Linked DNA regions of Caenorhabditis elegans. The protein of the gene in region 2 purifies or fractionates together with the protein of the main gene of each other region. This does not show direct contact. Each region holds a gene or a part of one and is shown on either strand. Other genes may lie near its edges.

The links. The genes of interacting proteins can lie anywhere in the genome.
Region 1: the proteins of calu-1 (region 2) and K03B8.6 fractionate together in Caenorhabditis elegans (co-fractionation; one large-scale study listed by BioGRID). This does not show direct contact.
Region 3: the proteins of calu-1 (region 2) and cmd-1 fractionate together in Caenorhabditis elegans (co-fractionation; one large-scale study listed by BioGRID). This does not show direct contact.

What each region holds. Positions count from the first base shown.
Region 1 is NC_003283.11:11,404,449-11,410,043, reverse strand, and holds K03B8.6 (uncharacterized protein), read right to left. Parts: upstream 2,461-5,595; 5' UTR 2,460-2,460; coding exon 2,337-2,459; intron 2,150-2,336; coding exon 1,517-2,149; intron 1,462-1,516; coding exon 1,303-1,461; intron 1,000-1,302; coding exon 919-999; 3' UTR 501-918; downstream 1-500. Other genes in the region: K03B8.8 (Conserved secreted protein), read left to right, coding at 317-497.
Region 2 is NC_003284.9:4,967,338-4,973,520, forward strand, and holds calu-1 (Reticulocalbin-3), read right to left. Parts: upstream 3,575-6,183; 5' UTR 3,559-3,574; coding exon 3,466-3,558; intron 3,411-3,465; coding exon 3,307-3,410; coding exon of another isoform or gene 3,255-3,306; coding exon 2,708-3,254; intron 2,657-2,707; coding exon 2,456-2,656; 3' UTR 2,197-2,455; downstream 1-2,196. Other genes in the region: M03F4.6 (EB domain-containing protein), read right to left, coding at 413-494, 545-658, 785-922, 1,903-1,984; ZC8.6 (Phosphatidylinositol 4-kinase type 2), read right to left, coding at 5,579-5,781, 5,897-5,990, 6,040-6,156.
Region 3 is NC_003283.11:1,153,379-1,158,689, reverse strand, and holds cmd-1 (Calmodulin), read right to left. Parts: upstream 2,420-5,311; 5' UTR 2,383-2,419; coding exon 2,349-2,382; intron 2,068-2,348; coding exon 1,829-2,067; intron 1,732-1,828; coding exon 1,584-1,731; intron 1,527-1,583; coding exon 1,498-1,526; 3' UTR 501-1,497; downstream 1-500. Other genes in the region: T21H3.5 (Serpentine Receptor, class H), read left to right, coding at 304-439. UniProt on the Caenorhabditis elegans protein: Calmodulin mediates the control of a large number of enzymes, ion channels and other proteins by Ca(2+). Among the enzymes to be stimulated by the calmodulin-Ca(2+) complex are a number of protein kinases and phosphatases.

The DNA of each region.
Region 1 (5,595 bases), on a different chromosome or scaffold from region 2:
ACGTAAACAAGTAGATTGAGCCGAATTTCTACAGCATATGAATGTATTTAGACAAATTATGTCGAAAGTGTTCTTTCCGTGAAAAAAAACATGTAATCACGCTTAAGGAAAAAATGTAATCACGCTTAAGGAAAAAACACAAAACAAATGATTTCCGAGTAAATCCATATGTGCATGGTATGGAAATTTGGCCCCTTTCAGTCACCTTTGCTTATTTTGCAGAGTTTTTAATAAAAAGTTGAAAACTGTCAGTTTACATTCCACTTTTAATAAAGTAATGCAGACACAGTTATTGAGAAATAATAGTATATTTCAGACCAATTAATCAACGGCCAATAGGATTTGATCCACTGCCAAATTACCAGTACCCACCTCCTCCTTATCCACCAATGATGTATCCTCCGCCGTCGTATAGTCTGATGGGACGAGTTGGAAGTATGACTGATAACATTCTGGATAATGTCATGGAATTTGTGTTAGGACGTCGACGACGCTGAACTATTGCGAAGATTTGATTTATTTTTTGTTGCAAAATGAAGAAAATGACAACTTGAAATATAAAAAGTCATGAAAAGATAAAACAAAAATACACGTAAAACGTTTTTAAGAAAAGGCGGTGAAGGAAGGGAAAATAACTTAAGACTGTGGGTGTTGGGAATAAGTAGAAAACTTAAAATGTGAGTTAGGATTTAATTGGGTTAGAAACAGGAAGTTGAAATTCTGATTCGAAGACACCGGCTCAGAACTGAATTGGGCATAAAAAGTGAGTAAGCAAAGAAACAAAATTAGAAAAAAAAACAAATAAAGCAAAAAAGCAAAATCGATCGATCTTAAGATTGAGAAGGAAACGAATGAAAGGATCAGATCATCGGAAATGGGAGAGATTTGATAGAAAGGCATGAAGACAGATTGAGCAGATCATCTAGTTTGACATCCGACAAATTCAGACAGTTTCAGCGGATATTCTTGTACTACTTTGAACTTCTTCGTGTTGTAAACCTGAAAAATTAACATAAAAGATCGATTTATATTTCAACAGCAAAGTTGGAATCCTATTGAAAATTGTTACTATAGAGTCGCTATCGAGAGAGTTATGAATGCTCTAAAAGCTGATACGTATGCTGAACTCAAGATATAAATTTTCCCGATAATTTCGGCAATTGGCGTTCTCTGAAAATTTAAACTTATCGGAAATTGACGGGGCTGCCGATTTTCGTAAATATAAGTACTGTTTAATTGAGAATATCGCCAGCGGAAAAAAGTGGCCGACTGCCGAAGATTTTAATATTGCGGAAAGAATACCTTTAACTTGTTTGTCTTGGTGTACATCAAAAGTGTTTCTCCAGCTCCGTTGTACACGATTCCCAGTAGATCCCTTGGCAGATTTGGGAAATACTTGCGTGTGTGGCCTGTGAATGTGGCTAAGTTCCAGTATGCGTCGTAGATGATGAAGTGTTCACCCTGAAATCATTTCAACCATGACAAGAAGGTTTTCTTAAGATTGATATCAACTCACACTGAGAACAACTTGATTTCCATCGGCCCATTCAAATGCTGACAATGGATGGATTGTGATGTTTCGGGGAAGATCTTGTGGGGTATTTTTCGCCAGCTGGAATCTACGATGTTTTCTGTTCCAACGGAATCTGTATGCAGTTCGTCCATCAAAGAGAATTGTGACTCCAGATCGAGAATTTGTCAATGCGGCGGTCACAGTTCTCGGTCCTCCAGCAAAGAATTCACTGATCAAGTAAGACGCTTTTTGTGGAAGTCCGTCTTCAAACCAAATTTGATAAACCCTTTCGCGAGCAAAAACATAGGTTCTTCCATTGATTCCCTTTGTAATTGCATCGAATTTTTCAGGACAGACATCAAATGACAGAGCCATTGCTTTCTTTGGAACTTCAGCTTCTTTCTTTTTCGGAACAACATGAGTGATTCTCCATGGAGCAAGGATCAAGTCACGACGTTCACGTCCAAGGACGACTTTCTGCTGACGATGCTGCTTGTTTTTTCTACGACGGACTGTTGGATCTTGTCCACTGGCACGAATCATTTCCCATTTGGTCTGACTATTCATACGTGGCAAAGTTGGAACTTCTTCCGAATTTACTTCGTATTGAGGTGCGTCATCTTTGTCGTCGATCATCTAGAAAATAAGTAATATAACATTTGTTTAAAATTAGAAAATTCCTTCTATAAGAAGGCTGCAACAATAAAATAAAATAAAAAAAAACAGAGACTTCGCTAGTTCACTTCTAAATTTCGGACAATGTATTTCTTCTTCAGATTACTAGTTTTCACTCATTGAAGCAAATTTTTTGAAAAGAGCTTACTATTGGATCCGATTCGTGTTTGTAATAGGTGTCTCCAATTTCTGAATTGACCATTTTGTCCACGAATCGACTCTCCACCGTTGTCACCAGTATCAACAGCAATACCACCAGTGGCTTCCTCATTCTGAAGTTAAAATAATGTTTCTTCATAAATATTTTACAATGAAGAGAGGGCACGGAAAAATGAAAAAGACAACATGGTTTCCTCCAGACAGACTCAAACCACGCCTCTTTCATACACACGGCCAACACACATTGAGATGGTGTCAGGCAAAGTGTCAAGTAGAGACAATGTTTGAGATGAAGAGACAGAGAACATAGAAGAGGTATGTGGCAGATGAGCATTTTTTAAATTGAGAAAAGGCGAGAACGAGCAAGATAGTTTCAAAGGACAGAAAAGGAGGAAAAAAGTGAGGTCGAACGGAAAACTTTTAAAACTTTCAAACATGAAAAGGAAGAATATTTGAGCAAATAGGTTTGATAAAAATTTGATACAGTTAGGAAAAAAGAAGAAGATGCCCTTAAAATCAATATTGTATTTTATCTTATATGAAACTGAACCCGCTGAGTTGTGAATTTCGGACTATTACGATCAGATGTTTCACATCCTACGTTTCAAGTTCTATTTGTCATATTCTTTTTCTTAAAACCTCTGCCCTTCCAACAGTCTAGAGTAAAGTTACAAAAAGAATCCTTGATGACACATTTCTCACTCCTAACCTTCAATATCCCCGTTGTTAAAAAGCAAGCAACGTAAACATTTTTCCATTATCTACCATCGGCTACCATTTTATTTTTACAAATTTACGATCAAAAATAGATTTTTCTAAACAAAATCATGAGATATCGTCTGGGACATCAAAGTAATATAGCCGACGGCAATTTGCAAAATATGAGAAATATGAGAAGATCAAGAGAGGTATGAAACCACAACGTCTGCATTAACAAGTACCCCTATTTTGCATAACACGAGATTACGATACGTGCGCAAAGAAAACGAAAGAAAAGGACAAGAATAGAAGAGATGAGGATGGTAAATGTGTGAAAAACGGTTGAATTACCAAGTCAAGTAGGTTGAAGAAATGATTTCTTACGAGAAAATGTTGGGTATGACATCTTGCAAATGTCTAGACTTGACTTGAAATAGTAAAAAGGGTCAAAAAATTAAATTTTCATGCGAAGTGCTTTTTATGTTTATTGTACATGGTTTTTACGAAAACGATGTTCAAGTGATATTTTGAATATATTTTCTGTGTTTTAGATAATTCTAAAAACTTTTTTACGACTTTTTCCATAATTTTTGTATACGTTCATCTGAATGAATATGAAATTTCAAAAAGAAGAACTCTAAAGGATCAAACACCACAGTCTATGAAAGTTTGAATAGAGAATAACATTGATATTTTTCCCCATTACTCTCATTTCAACTCCATACATATCTCTTTCTTTCCCGTTGCTCTTCAACTTTTCTTTCTGATTTGAACGTGTTTGCGATACAAAAGAGCCGGGAGGTCTTCCTCGCCGCTGAGACAGTCGCCACCCGCCACATGAAATTATTTGTTCAAATTATGCCTTGTACAATAAGTGTGCGGCTCCTTGTTCAACCATGACACTTTTGTTTTCCGAAGAACAGAGTGGCTCATGCATCGGTCGTGGGGCAAGTCGGCTGAACACTGACTGAAAAGCTTGGCTCGGCGCGTGAAGTGTGCTCATCAGGAATGACGAGTTGCTCTTTTGTAACTCTCCGACAACATGTCTTTTGACTTTTTTGAAGGAAAGTCGGCATCAATACACACACACAAAAAGAGATATGGTGATTATCTGGCTCTCACGTCCACTCGTTTGCAAAAGCGGTGTTGGTTGCCATAAAAGGTTGCTCACACGATTTACTGTAGTATTGCAAAAGAACAATCAAAAAGTGCAAAGTAAACGTGCGTTTTTGAATCTATCCATTTGAAATAAAAGGTCGGGACTGGAGATGAACAGAAAGGACGGTAAAAAGAAAGAAATGAAAGAAAAACTTGTGGAATAGGGTAATGGTCAGTTTTCGGAAAAGTTGCAACGTAAGCGTCTATGAAAATGATTACCGAGAAGCTTATATTTTATCATTGAAAAACACCACTCGTACTCCTATTTTCCAAAAAAAATACTCTGACAGGCGATTCGGGTAAGGTCGTTTTGAACAGTGTGAACATACTTCCAAAACAAAAACTTCAAGTGATGACCATCATTTATTTATTTTTGAAACATTATAAAAAATTTCATGTTTACTCTTTAAGGATCAACCTAGGCAAAATATTACTTATTGGTCTAGTTCTTGAATTATGGCAGAAAATTCAGTCTTTGAAGTGAGAATAGCGTTTTGGAAACATAATTCAAACGTTTTCAAATAATGGTAAAATACAGTAGTCATTTCACATCTGTGCATTAGATCGATCAATTTCATTCATTTTATTCATAAAAATGGGAATTTAAAAAATTCAAACTTGAATTCCACAAAAAATTCTGTCTGATCCCTAACTACCAAATATACCAATACTATCTGACCTGAATATTTCAATTTTTGCTCACTATCATTTCGTTGACAATCGTTACAGTCAGACCATTAGAATGTTACACACGTAAACGTAGTAAACTGATTATATCATCGACTGGCAAACATTCGATGTAGAATTACATAATAGAATTCCAGAAACAAATTTGTTTTCAAAAAAAAAACATTTGTAACAATGGGAACCTCCCAAAACAAAAAGTGTTATCAACGACAATTGAGGAAGAAAAATGACTAAACGATGTGAAAAGGAGGCGAAAATGCCCACAAACAATTTGAGCAAGAGCCAGTAATCAAAAAAGTAAGCAAAAAACCGTGGTGTACTCTCATTCGGAAGGCTAGAGAGTAAAACAGAAAAAGGACGCGCAATGTGGCCAAGAACGGAAAGAATATAAAGAAAAGAGAAGAAGCGGCTTTTGCATGTTCACCCTTGTTTGCTTATCATAATTTCGAGAGAATCGCTCACGCCGCTACACAATTACGAGGCGTCGGCGACTGTTGAATGGAGGAGACAATGCTCGCAAATCTGAGTTCATCAAACAGATCAGACTTTTGCAAAATTAATGGGATTAAGCTATGTTTTTTGTCACTGAAAAGCTAACAGTTATAACAGCAGAAAAATATTTTTAAAAGAGAATGCCAATCAATAAAACCTGCATCAAAGTTTTTAAATCAAATTCGATTAATATTTATTTTTGGGACGGTTTC
Region 2 (6,183 bases):
CCAATGTTTTTCATCAAAATTTAGTAGAAGACTATAAAACATAGTTTTCATATCAATTCAAGCAACAGGAAAAATGCTCAAAAATTGTCTGAAAGTTGGGATTTTCAGTGCAATAATTTGTGGGATTTTTTTCAGTCAGTTTACATTTTTCTAACAATTTCTAAGCGTCTTTCGAACTATTTCAACTAAAATAAAAAATAATTTTCAACTGAATTAAATATTTAGACTTACTCGATCACTAAATTTTGAAGAAAAATATTAACATAATCCCACTCTTGCTTTTCTTTTTGTAGAACACCCCCTGCTTCAATTCAAGTAATTTGCCAGTTTTTCATGTTTTAGACCAATTCTAGTTGACCTTCACAATTTCAATATCTAGGTATATTGTTTTATAACTATTTTTCTCACTCACTGGCTGTCTTTCTCACACGGTTGCTGATAATGGGCAACACGAGTGCATTCGACGCCATAAAGCTGCTGACCAACTGGACACACTGAAAATCCACTCATCCTTCACAAATCTTTAGACATCAGCTTCACTTACGAACAACGCATTTTCCGTCAACAATACTACCACCCCAGCACTCGCATTTACCATCTCTGCACAATAAGGGAGGCTTGCAATCGCGTTGACAGGAATCTCCGATTTTGGCGGGTGCTGAAAGCAAAAGCTAATTTATACAACAAGAGGCAAAAGACCGGTTCGGTTCGGTGAATCATTTGAGAACTGTAAGAAGTCTAAAACCAAAGAGACAAAAAAAAACGAGGAAAATTATGATGTCACCTAATCGGCAAATTGTCGTTCGTTCATCGATGTCGTATTCTTCAAAGTTTGTGGGGCAGGTACATCGGGAGTTTCTGCACACTGAGTTCATTCCATAGCATTCTTCATCAAATAGGCAGTCACTTCCAATAAGCTTTTCTGAAAAAAATAAACATATTTTTGTTGAAGTGTGGGGGACTGAGAAAACTGCTTTCCTATCTATAAATTATGATAGTTCAATCATATTAAAGGTTACGTAGTATAATCTAGCATGGCCAAATATCATGATAAAAAACTTCTAAAAGATTTTGAATTGTTCAAAATTTTTGATCAAAGTTTCCAAAAATGTGAACTTTTTGAGTAAATTTAAGAATTGCTACAGATTGAATATCCTGGGTAAGAATATAAAACTCGTAGGAAAATAATTTAAATGTAATTTTGAAAAAATCAAAACATTTTTGGAAAGTTTTACTATGACATTTGGGCATTGTACAACTGAAGGAGCGGCTTTTTAACGACTGATGTTTTTTTTTGAATATTCGAAAGCTTTTGATTCATGTTTTCGAGCCTAATTGCATTGTTAAATTATTAATTTCTAGGTTAAAAAAAAACAGCTCTAAACTAAACAAAAAAAAAAGACATTTTCAGACACTTCCTGAAGATTTTTCATTTCCATCATTTCAGTGCAATTTAGAGTTTTCTTTTAGTCTGGTAAACTAGCTGATTGGCTTGAATTTCAATTTATTTGAAGCCAATTTTGAATTTTTCAACGAATTCACTAAATCAATAGAACAACATGTAACCATTGTTATGTCAAATGACCTTAAAAATTTGCAAGTTGTTTTTACAGTTCAAGAGTACTTTTCAAAAACTACATACACTGCCTTCAAACAAAAATAAGCCATGATACAATTTGGAAATATTAAATAGAAATTCTGAAAATAAGCGATTTTAGGATTTCAAAACTTTATTATTTCGTTATTTAATTGTAATAAAGTTAGAATTTTTCTGAAATTTTCACAAATTATAGGCATTATTCAAATATATAATAAGAAAAATTTTCAATTCCAAGAACCAGTATACATGTATTAGCTCAATGTTTCATACAACTACGATATAAAACATTCAAATTGACTCACGTGCACACGGAACATCGAACGCTAAAGCTAATCGATCAATAATCAGAAACAAGAATAACACTTGGATGAATGGGCTATGCATTACTATGGCGAAGAAAAATTAGGACAGAACCGATTTGAAGATTTCCCTGCGGAAAGAGAGACAGAGATGCGACTATGAAAGGAAAATCATCAAGGGGTCAACACCGTCATGATCGTCGCCACGTCCGCTGTGCGAAGACATGGCGAAGTCGTACACATTTGACACACTAAATTATTTCATTAACCTTCCGTTGTTCTGTAAGGAATTGGATTTTTGAATGCATAAACTTTTATTTGTTGATAATTATTAAAACCAGTAAAATTCGAAAAATCCGAAAAATTCAAAAATGCATGCGCTTGAAAATTATATACTTATGACATTGAAAAAGGCAAACAATAATGAGATAAATAAGAACAGTGAACATTTTTTGTTAAGTAAGAATGAGTTTCGAAGACCAGTCACACATTATTATTACTAACAGATCTCAAATGAGAATTTTCGCGTAATACTGTTTGGAGAAAAACAAAAATTTTAGAGCTCGGCTGGGTCGTGTTTCTGGAGTTGCTCTCCGTAGTCGGTGGCCTGGGATCCGACGAATGTGTCGTAGTGGGCGACGATTTCATCGAGATTCAGTTTTCCGTCTTTGTTGTCATCGGCGATTCCAACCAAGTGACGAGCCTCAGCCTCGGCGTGGTCGAATCCAACTGGCATAATCCAATCGCGCATCTCCTCCTGAAATATAATCATTATTAATTAGACATCATATTATAGACATTATTATACCTGATTGAGTTTTCCATCTCCGTCCTTGTCTCTGTGCTCCTTGAACATTTCGCGCTCAGATTGAACCCAGTCTGGTTCTTTTCCATTCAACTCTGGGTAATCATCTGGTCTATACATATCTCCAATGTACTCATCAAGATCCACAGATCCGTCCTTGTTCTTATCAATATCATCGACAGTCTCGGCGACGACAACGTCTCTCATGTGATCACAGTCTTCTGGATGCATGAAGCAACCGTATTCGGTTCTGTCGAGGGCTCCGTTTGAGTCGTAGTCGGCAACAGCCCATCTCTTCTCGTCACGTGCGATCATTTTAGCGTATTCTGGAGAAAGCTCCTGGCCAGCTCCGTCAGCAGATCCGTAGACCATCTCTCTGTAGTCTTCCCACTTGATCTTTCCGTCGACAATCTTCTCGGCCTTGTAGTTCTTCCAGGTACGGTCCACGTCGTTGTTGACGTATCTCTTTTGCATGAAGTTGATGTGATCCTTGAGCTCGTTCTCCTCGATGAAGCCATCGCTGTCAGCATCCATCTTTGGAACGAGCTTGCTGAAAATAATAGACGTTGATTTGAAGGTCATGAGACTTTAAAAGAACATACGCAAGCTTCTCCTTTGACTTTTCTGGTGTTAATTCATCAAATTCAGCAGCGGTGTCTTTTCCGAGGAACTGCTCGTGATCGTACTTCTTGTCATGTTCCTTTCCCTAAAAATAACAGAACAGATATTTGTAAAAGATTATGCGTAAAACTGCAAATTACCTTGAAATGTTCACCATCTTTCGATGGATCGGATGAGTGATGGGAAGCAAGCGCGGTGGCTGCGAGGAGACCAACGAAGAGAAGAACCTTCATGTCCAGATCCTACTACCTGAAATTAAAAATAAATCATTTTTGAAACAAAAACAATTGAGAATACAAAACATAGGATAAGTGTGTACTAATTAACAATTACGATGTGAAGTGGGGAATACTGACGGCTCTTTAAAAGGATATACATAAATAGGTCAAGCAATCGGGAACACTTTTTATGCACCGTCTAGCGATTGTCTGAAGGCAGAAAGATGGAAGACAGCCCAAAACTACGGACAGACGCCCGATTGGAAGGAGTGAGTTGGCCTGCTTGCGAACTGTCAATCTCACCCGCCAGTGTTGACAGTTTCTCAATACCTCATATTGCTGCTCACGCAAACAAATTCGATGCCTATACGTTAGCCAGAGGCTACTCTTATGATTTCACAGGGTTTAAATGTTTCAAGAGGAGGGGTTTCGTTCTAAAGATTAGTACACGTAGCATAAGATATAAATAAATGTTATTTCTTGATTTCTTCATGGAAATAAAAATGATCAAGAGAACGCTGCAAACGAAGCGAATCAAGAGAAAATTCGGTGACTTCTTCTCGGCTACCTATGCAGTTCAGGATACTACAGTTTTAGCAAGAAGTGAGCGAGGAAAAGAAACCCTCTTGTAAGAGAGAGAGAGAGAGATGGTCATCACAAAATGGGGGTCAGTGCCTGCCGGGGCTGCCGATTTCTCAGAGCAGAGAGTACAGTGTACCGGGAGACGCAGTCAGAGGTTAAGTTAAAACATTGGAGAGACTATGCGGGAGGGCGGAGGCGGCAGACAATGGCCTGGTAAAGAGAGAAAGACTGCGGCGGGAGTAGAACAACCCCGAGACACACACACACACACATTCGTCCACAGAAAGAAAAAGAGAGCCACGTGTACAAATCTCGAGTCACTTGTTGGGATGAGTTTGTAGTTCTTCTCCTAGATGTTCTTCAAATTTCTTTTCTCGAAATTTTGTTCAGTGAGAATTGAGAGAACTCATACAAGTTTCAAAAACCTCAAACGTAGAACGTTCTACATGAAATTCGTAACAGGGATCTAGAACTTATCAGTACACATAAATACTATGTCTAGTGTTAAGAAAACCTCAAACTAGAAGCCTCCCATTGCCGTGAAGGTTGCTTAAAGATTCACAGTAGAATAAACAATCCGAGGCTAGTTAGTTTATATAGAATTCTTACTTTGAATAAACAAATGAAAGTCAATGGAAAGACGTCTGGTCAATCGGTCAGCGGCGCGACACACGTCTGCAGGGTTTAAATAGATGAGCCGTCGTGCAGCAGTTGTGTGGACCGTTCGAGAATCTTCTTCTGTTTCACAGCTGTCGTCTCCGCCTGGAACACGTCATCAAAAAAGATCTCGTCTTTTGCCTGTGGTGTCGACCCTAGAAATGCGGCGTGCCGGCCGGTGACCCCAAATCATTTCTTACCTCAACCATCATACAACTTATCTGTTTAACCATATCTTACATAGAACTAAATCGGCCTGTACGCGCCTCTGATTATCACCCCGGACCGCGGGGGAAAGGGACATCACATCTTTTCACTCGTGCGCGCGGCCCACTTACCCAGTTAGGAGGAACGAAAACAAAAAGAACCGAATACACATAAAAGATAAAGGTGAATAGTTCGAACAGATATTGTTATAATGGAACGATACAAATAAATAAAGAAATTTGTAGAAAAGTTATTCATTCACAAATATATGTCAAACGGGAAGAGGGGACCACGAACACAACACAACTGACAAAAATACGAACCTTGTGAGAAAATGATTGGGGGGAATTTCACAAATCAGGTAGAATTGGAATAGGAATTTAGAAATGATGGAAAACGAATAAAGCTAGAAAAATACAAAAATACAACACACAATATTGGTTAGTTTAAGATATAACCGAGTTCGAATCGATGGAAGATCAACTACTTGTCAAGAGAAGAGCAACTTGACTCGAGGAAGGGGAAAAATGTTTAGCGGGGAAAGAAATGATAGACGTGGAAAAAAAATGTTTAAAATTGAAATCGTGAATCACCACCAACGGAAGAACGGGGCTTTCGTTTGCACTTTTTGCTCATATGTTTCCTGCCACGATTTGGAGCCACCAGTCGATGATGCTGCTCCGGCGTCCGAAGTTGATGGGCCAGCAGTAGCTGCAGCGGCAGCCGACGTGGAAGGACCGGGCTGCTCAACATCAACGTTGCCAGATGTGTTTACCACGGTTGAAGCGTCCGCTGCAAAATTGATTGGCCTATTCATTGTGAATAAAGTTTCTCCAAAAAAAAAAAAACAAACAGCACAAATATTTTTCCGCTAATAAAATATATATTAATTAAACGACACCCATACAATCATAATTCGGCGCCTCTTCGTAATCAGCGTTACGTGATCGTCTTGACTTCTTCTTCTTTTGCTTGACTTCAACCATCAATTGAGGTGGCATCTAGAAATTTGAAATTTGATATTTTGAAAAAAAAAATCAGAATGTGTACCTGAATGAGCTGGTAAGGGCTCTTTTTCTTCATCAATGCTTCTCGCAAATTGAAAATTTGTCCACGCATCACAGACATTTGCTTTTCGAAGATCTTTTTGTCAAAACCTTTGTCATTCTGAAAATAAAAATCAATATATTAAAA
Region 3 (5,311 bases), on a different chromosome or scaffold from region 2:
TTGCTAAAATATTGAAATTTATCAAATAATGCAAAAAAAACTGTCACTACTATTCGAAAATAAATTCATTTCGAAAATCGAGCCCGTAAATCGACACAGTAGTAACAGTAGTAACAGTAGTAATTTAAGGGGTTACTGTAGACTTCGCTGCGAGATATTCTGCGCGTCAAATATGTTGTGCGATACGCAGTAGCAGTGTTTTGTGGTCCTTTAATATTGAATCATCATGTTTGCCGTCAATACCTAACGAGACCCAACGTTTGGGGGTGGAGCCTGCCGCTTTTCAACTTTTTCAATTTTCAGACGACAACTCGGCTTCATTATAATCGATTTTTTCCGGCAAAAAAATGTGAACCTTTCCGTCTTTGTCGTCGATAATCAGCAGCAAGCCGATCAACTTCAAATGTCCACCGTCGGAGCACCTATTTCGATGATGTGAGAAGTTTTTTTTCAAAAAAATAAAATTGTTCTTTTTAATTTTTAAATTGACTTTTTGATTGAAAAACCCCAAAGCATTCAAAAAAAATCAAGTTTCATTTGAAGATTTTCTTTTTTTTTTGTTGAATAAGTTCGCATCAAGGGACGAGAGAAGCGAGATAATCAGAGATAAAAATTTGAATTGTTCAGAGATTATAGAGACGGTGGTGGTGGTGGGTTGGTTGGGAAGAATGGAATTAAATTATTAAAGGATTTTGGAGACTTTGACTTTTACAATAATATAAAATAGGAATTTTCAAAGAAAAAATCCAAAACAAAAAAAAAGAAAGCAATGGTGCAAAAAGTGTTCACTAGGCGCCAAAATTTTTTGCCGTTGCTTGTCGAAATCGAAATTCAAAGCAACAGAAAATATTTCAGGTACAATTTTAAAATGGCCCGTGTGACGGTGTGTGTGTGGTGCGAAAAGAGGGAATTTTCTACACTTTCTATAAATGGTTGAGGGGGAAAGAGAGAGGAAAGAAAGATTTTCGAGTTTGGAATACATTTTTTGGGAAGAACAATTTGGAAGAAGAGAAAATATGAGAAAAATACCAAGTGGGAAAAGAAGAAGCCAGCGGTTTTTTTTAAGTTTTTTAAATTTTTTTATGGGGTTTTACAGGTTGGAGGCATTATTTTGAGGAAGGGTCAAGCCGGGGCAGGCGACCAAGAACTGGAGGATCCGGGACTTTTTAATTTGGGGGCAGGGGCAGGAGAAGAAGAAACTCAATCATTGTAAAGAGGAAATAAGAAAAAAATGACTTATAAATGAGTTTCACATTCTAAGAAAAAAACAAAATTAGGTTGAGAGCACGTCTGTCAAAAAAGAGGCAAAAAAACTTAAATTTGAACATAAATTACATCATTTATAGCATTTTTTGACTGGGCTTGGCAATTTTTTTTTGGGGCTCGAGAGCGAAATCACAATTTTCAAGCGGGGAAGAATAAAAAAACGAAAGGTGAGAGAAAAGGTGTTGGTGATTCGCAAACGATACGGCGGCTTCAGATCCCGATTGGTGTGATTTACTTGGTTGTCATCATGGTGACGAACTCTGAAATATGGGAAATTTGATGAAATTTCGAAAAAAAAAGGTCTTGTAAGGACTCACCCTCATAATTGACTTGTCCATCTCCGTCGATATCGGCTTCACGGATCATCTCGTCGACCTCTTCGTCCGTTAGCTTCTCTCCCAAGTTGGTCATGACGTGGCGCAGTTCAGCGGCCGAGATGAAGCCATTTCCGTCCTTGTCGAAAACCTGCAAATAGGAAGATTTGAATGAGATTTTCTATACTACATGAGGCTTCTCTATAGTGAATCAAAAATGAATTTATAAATTTCCACAAATCTCTTACTCGGAACGCCTCACGAATCTCCTCCTCACTGTCCGTGTCCTTCATCTTGCGGGCCATCATCGTCAAGAACTCTGGGAAATCGATGGTTCCGTTTCCGTCAGCGTCCACTTCGTTGATCATGTCCTGAAGCTCGGCTTCAGTCGGATTTTGTCCCAAAGACCGCATAACAGTTCCCAATTCCTTGGTGGTGATTGTGCCATCGCCGTCCTTGTCGAACAAACTGAATGCCTCCTTGAACTCTGAAAATTTGGCAAAATTGATTTGGTTTTTTCTCGAATTTTGTAGTTTTTTATACAATTGTTGATAGATTTTTCGCCGCGAGAACCAGCCAACATCTGGAATAAAACACACAAAAATAGTGGCGCTATACATCTGCTGCTACGGCTAATGTTTCATCCATTAAATTTAAATTTCTACGCCGCGCCGCTTGGTTTCTGCTCAATTCGCTTCGAAATGAGAGAGGATTAGATTTCTTCAATCTCCCGGTCCTCCGTCCATCAATCAGAATTTAAAAAAGTACCGGCAATTTGCTCCTCGGTCAGTTGATCGGCCATCTTGCTTTCGCTGTGCAGGGGGTGTTGTTAGAAAACCCTGAAAAATGAAAAAGGATAATTAATTAATTAATTAAAATCAATATAAATTGTTTGAAAGCGAGCGGAACGACGTAAACAATGATGAATACCGGTGGGTGAAACGGTGACGAGAGAGAAAAAATCGGAGAGAATAATCGAAAAAAGAGAGAAAAGAGAGAAAATAGAGAAGAACTAGAGAGAATTTACTGACTGATAAGCCAACGATAGGTACAAATTTTATATTTCGAAATGAAGAGAGAAGGAGACGAAATCAAAGGTTGATTTTGTCGAATTGGAAATATTTAGCGATTTCACTCTCCTCAAAGCCGAATTATTATTAGAGCGCGCTTGCTACGCGCTTTGCGTTTCTGCATCCGCGATGTTTTTGCCTGTCCACTGAAAAAATCAGATTTATTGAATCTTAGGAACAAACCAAAATGACGAAAATCAACTTTTTTCGTCCACTGGTTGAGAAAAAGTTGAAAAAATCAGCGGGATATTTTTTTTTGTTATTTTCTGAATCTATTTTTCTATCGAAAATCGGTTTTAAACCACTTTTGACTCTAAAGTAAGGTCACAAATGGATTAAAATCAATTTTTAATAGGAAAATATTTAGAAAATAAGAAAAATCTCGTTGATTTTTTCAATTTCAAACCTTTTCACAACCAGTAGACGAAAAAAGTTCATTTTAGTCATTTTAATTTCGATGTTCACTGTCTAGCAATAGGTTTGTCCGTGAAATGCTGAAAAAAAAACATCTACTTTCAGTGGAAACACGTGGTGCCAGGCTGGGCTGTCCCATTACGGTTTGATCTACAAAAAATGCGGGAATTTTGCCCAATAAATGTGATGTCAGCACGTTCTTAACAATGCAAAATCAGTTGAGAACTCTGTTGTCTCTTCTCCCGCATTTTTTGTAGATCTTTGTAGATCAAGCCGGAATGAGACACTCTGACACAACGTGTGGAAAGGCAAAACACCGCGGATGCAGAAATGCGAAACGTAGAAAATTATTCGGCTTTGAGGAGAGCGCGTGATTTCTGTCAAAAATCCACCAAAAAAAAACAAATTTCCAGTGGGTAGATCAAAGATCCCCTGCGGATATTCCATTACACATAATAATCGGAAAACTCTGATGGCCGAGACGTCTTGCGGAAGGAAAAGAAATGAAACAACAAAAAAGAGAGAAGATAGGGGTCAGTGTGTGTGCGTGTTCTGGTTATCGAATTATCCCCACAATACTTCAATTTCCTCTTGTTTTGCACGCAAAACGAGAAGTTGAAATTGGGGGATGGGGAGGGGGGGGGGGGGGGGTGTAGCGAAAACGGCCAACGTCTTATTCATCTGCGACGACCACCACCACCACCGCAACAAGAAAAGAACGGAGACGTGTTCGTCAATGAAGAAGTCTGAACACAAAAACTAGTTCTTCCTTCATCTCATCATACGTCCGAAAGAACATCAGCAGACACCGCGTCAACAACAAAAAAAGCCGACCAATTCTCAGCGGAGCGCATTTTCGATATGGAACATTAATACGAAAAAGGGCTGCTGTACAAGGGGATTATATAAGCGCGCGCGCGAAACGGAGCGGCGGTGAAAACTAAAGCATAATCCGACCCGGCGCAAGGGTTTTCAGGTTTTAACCTATAATGGGAAACCAGGAAAAGGGAATAAACAATCAAAAGAGACCTAAGAAATGTTTTTACAGAATGATAAATCACGAGAATATGGAAAAATAGTTGCGAAAACCTATTTGACGAGTTGAAAAATCAATGAATCACATGATTTAGCAAACAGACTCTGTTTTTTTTCTCGTTACACCTTCGTTTCTCAATTTGTTGGATCTCTCGAGCCTCCTCAAATATCTATACGAACGCTGGACAAATATTTGGCGGAAATCTCGGGGGGTTTCGAGGTTTTCTAACGAAGCGGCTCAGAAAGTCGGTAAAAACAACGAAGAAGCATTTTTCAGGAAAAATGAAACATCGGTTGTTTCTATTGCCCAGGCACATGAAATGATGCCCGTTTAAGCAGAGTGTGCGCGTGTGTGTGTGCAATTTCATTCGTCGCACTCCCTCTCTCTCTCGATGATGCTCAATTTCTCTATTTCTCCCGCCAGAGCGCCCATGCCTGAATACTGCTGTTTCAGTTGCTGGCTGGCTGCTGCAGTCAGTGTGGTGGTGGACGACCGACTGGTGGTGTGCGCAATGCGTCGGTGCGGCATTAGAAATAATGCATTGACGACGGACGACGGTGGAGAAGGAAGGAAGATTATCGAAACCGACAATGTTGGAACTCGAAAAAATGGAAATGGAAGAGTTTGCCGAACTAGGCCATTTTGGCTCGGCCATATCTGGGGTAGATTTATGGCGCGTCGCGGCTCGATTTTAGTTGTAAAACTGAATGTATTCACGACTTTCCCACGCATTGTCCGGCGGGCGATTGCCAATGGAGCGCAAAATTTTCAATGAGGAAGGCCCGTGCCAAGGTTTACAAGAACTAATTCTCACGACAAAATGAACCGCTATTAAAAAAATCAATAAAAACGGGGAGAAATCGACAATGCGCTGACTCATATTTTATCAAAAACCGTGCACACCTTATATACACGGTGGTAAGTGAGTCAGAAAAGGCAAAAAGAGGGCCAACGGGAGGGAACACTTACTCTAAAATGGGCGGGTCGTGAAGCGGTGGAGCGGTACCAAAACAGCTAAGCCACGCCCTGTGTTGTTTTCGATGGGGGGATATTCGACAATTTTTGCGCGGGGTTCTGGCCTTCCTCATTGAATTTTTCGCGCTCTATTGACAATCGTCCGCCGGGCAAAGTCGTGTATACTCCACCCGGATAAATGCTCTTAGTTTTACAACTAAAATCGAGCCGCGACGCGACACGCAACGCGCCGTAAA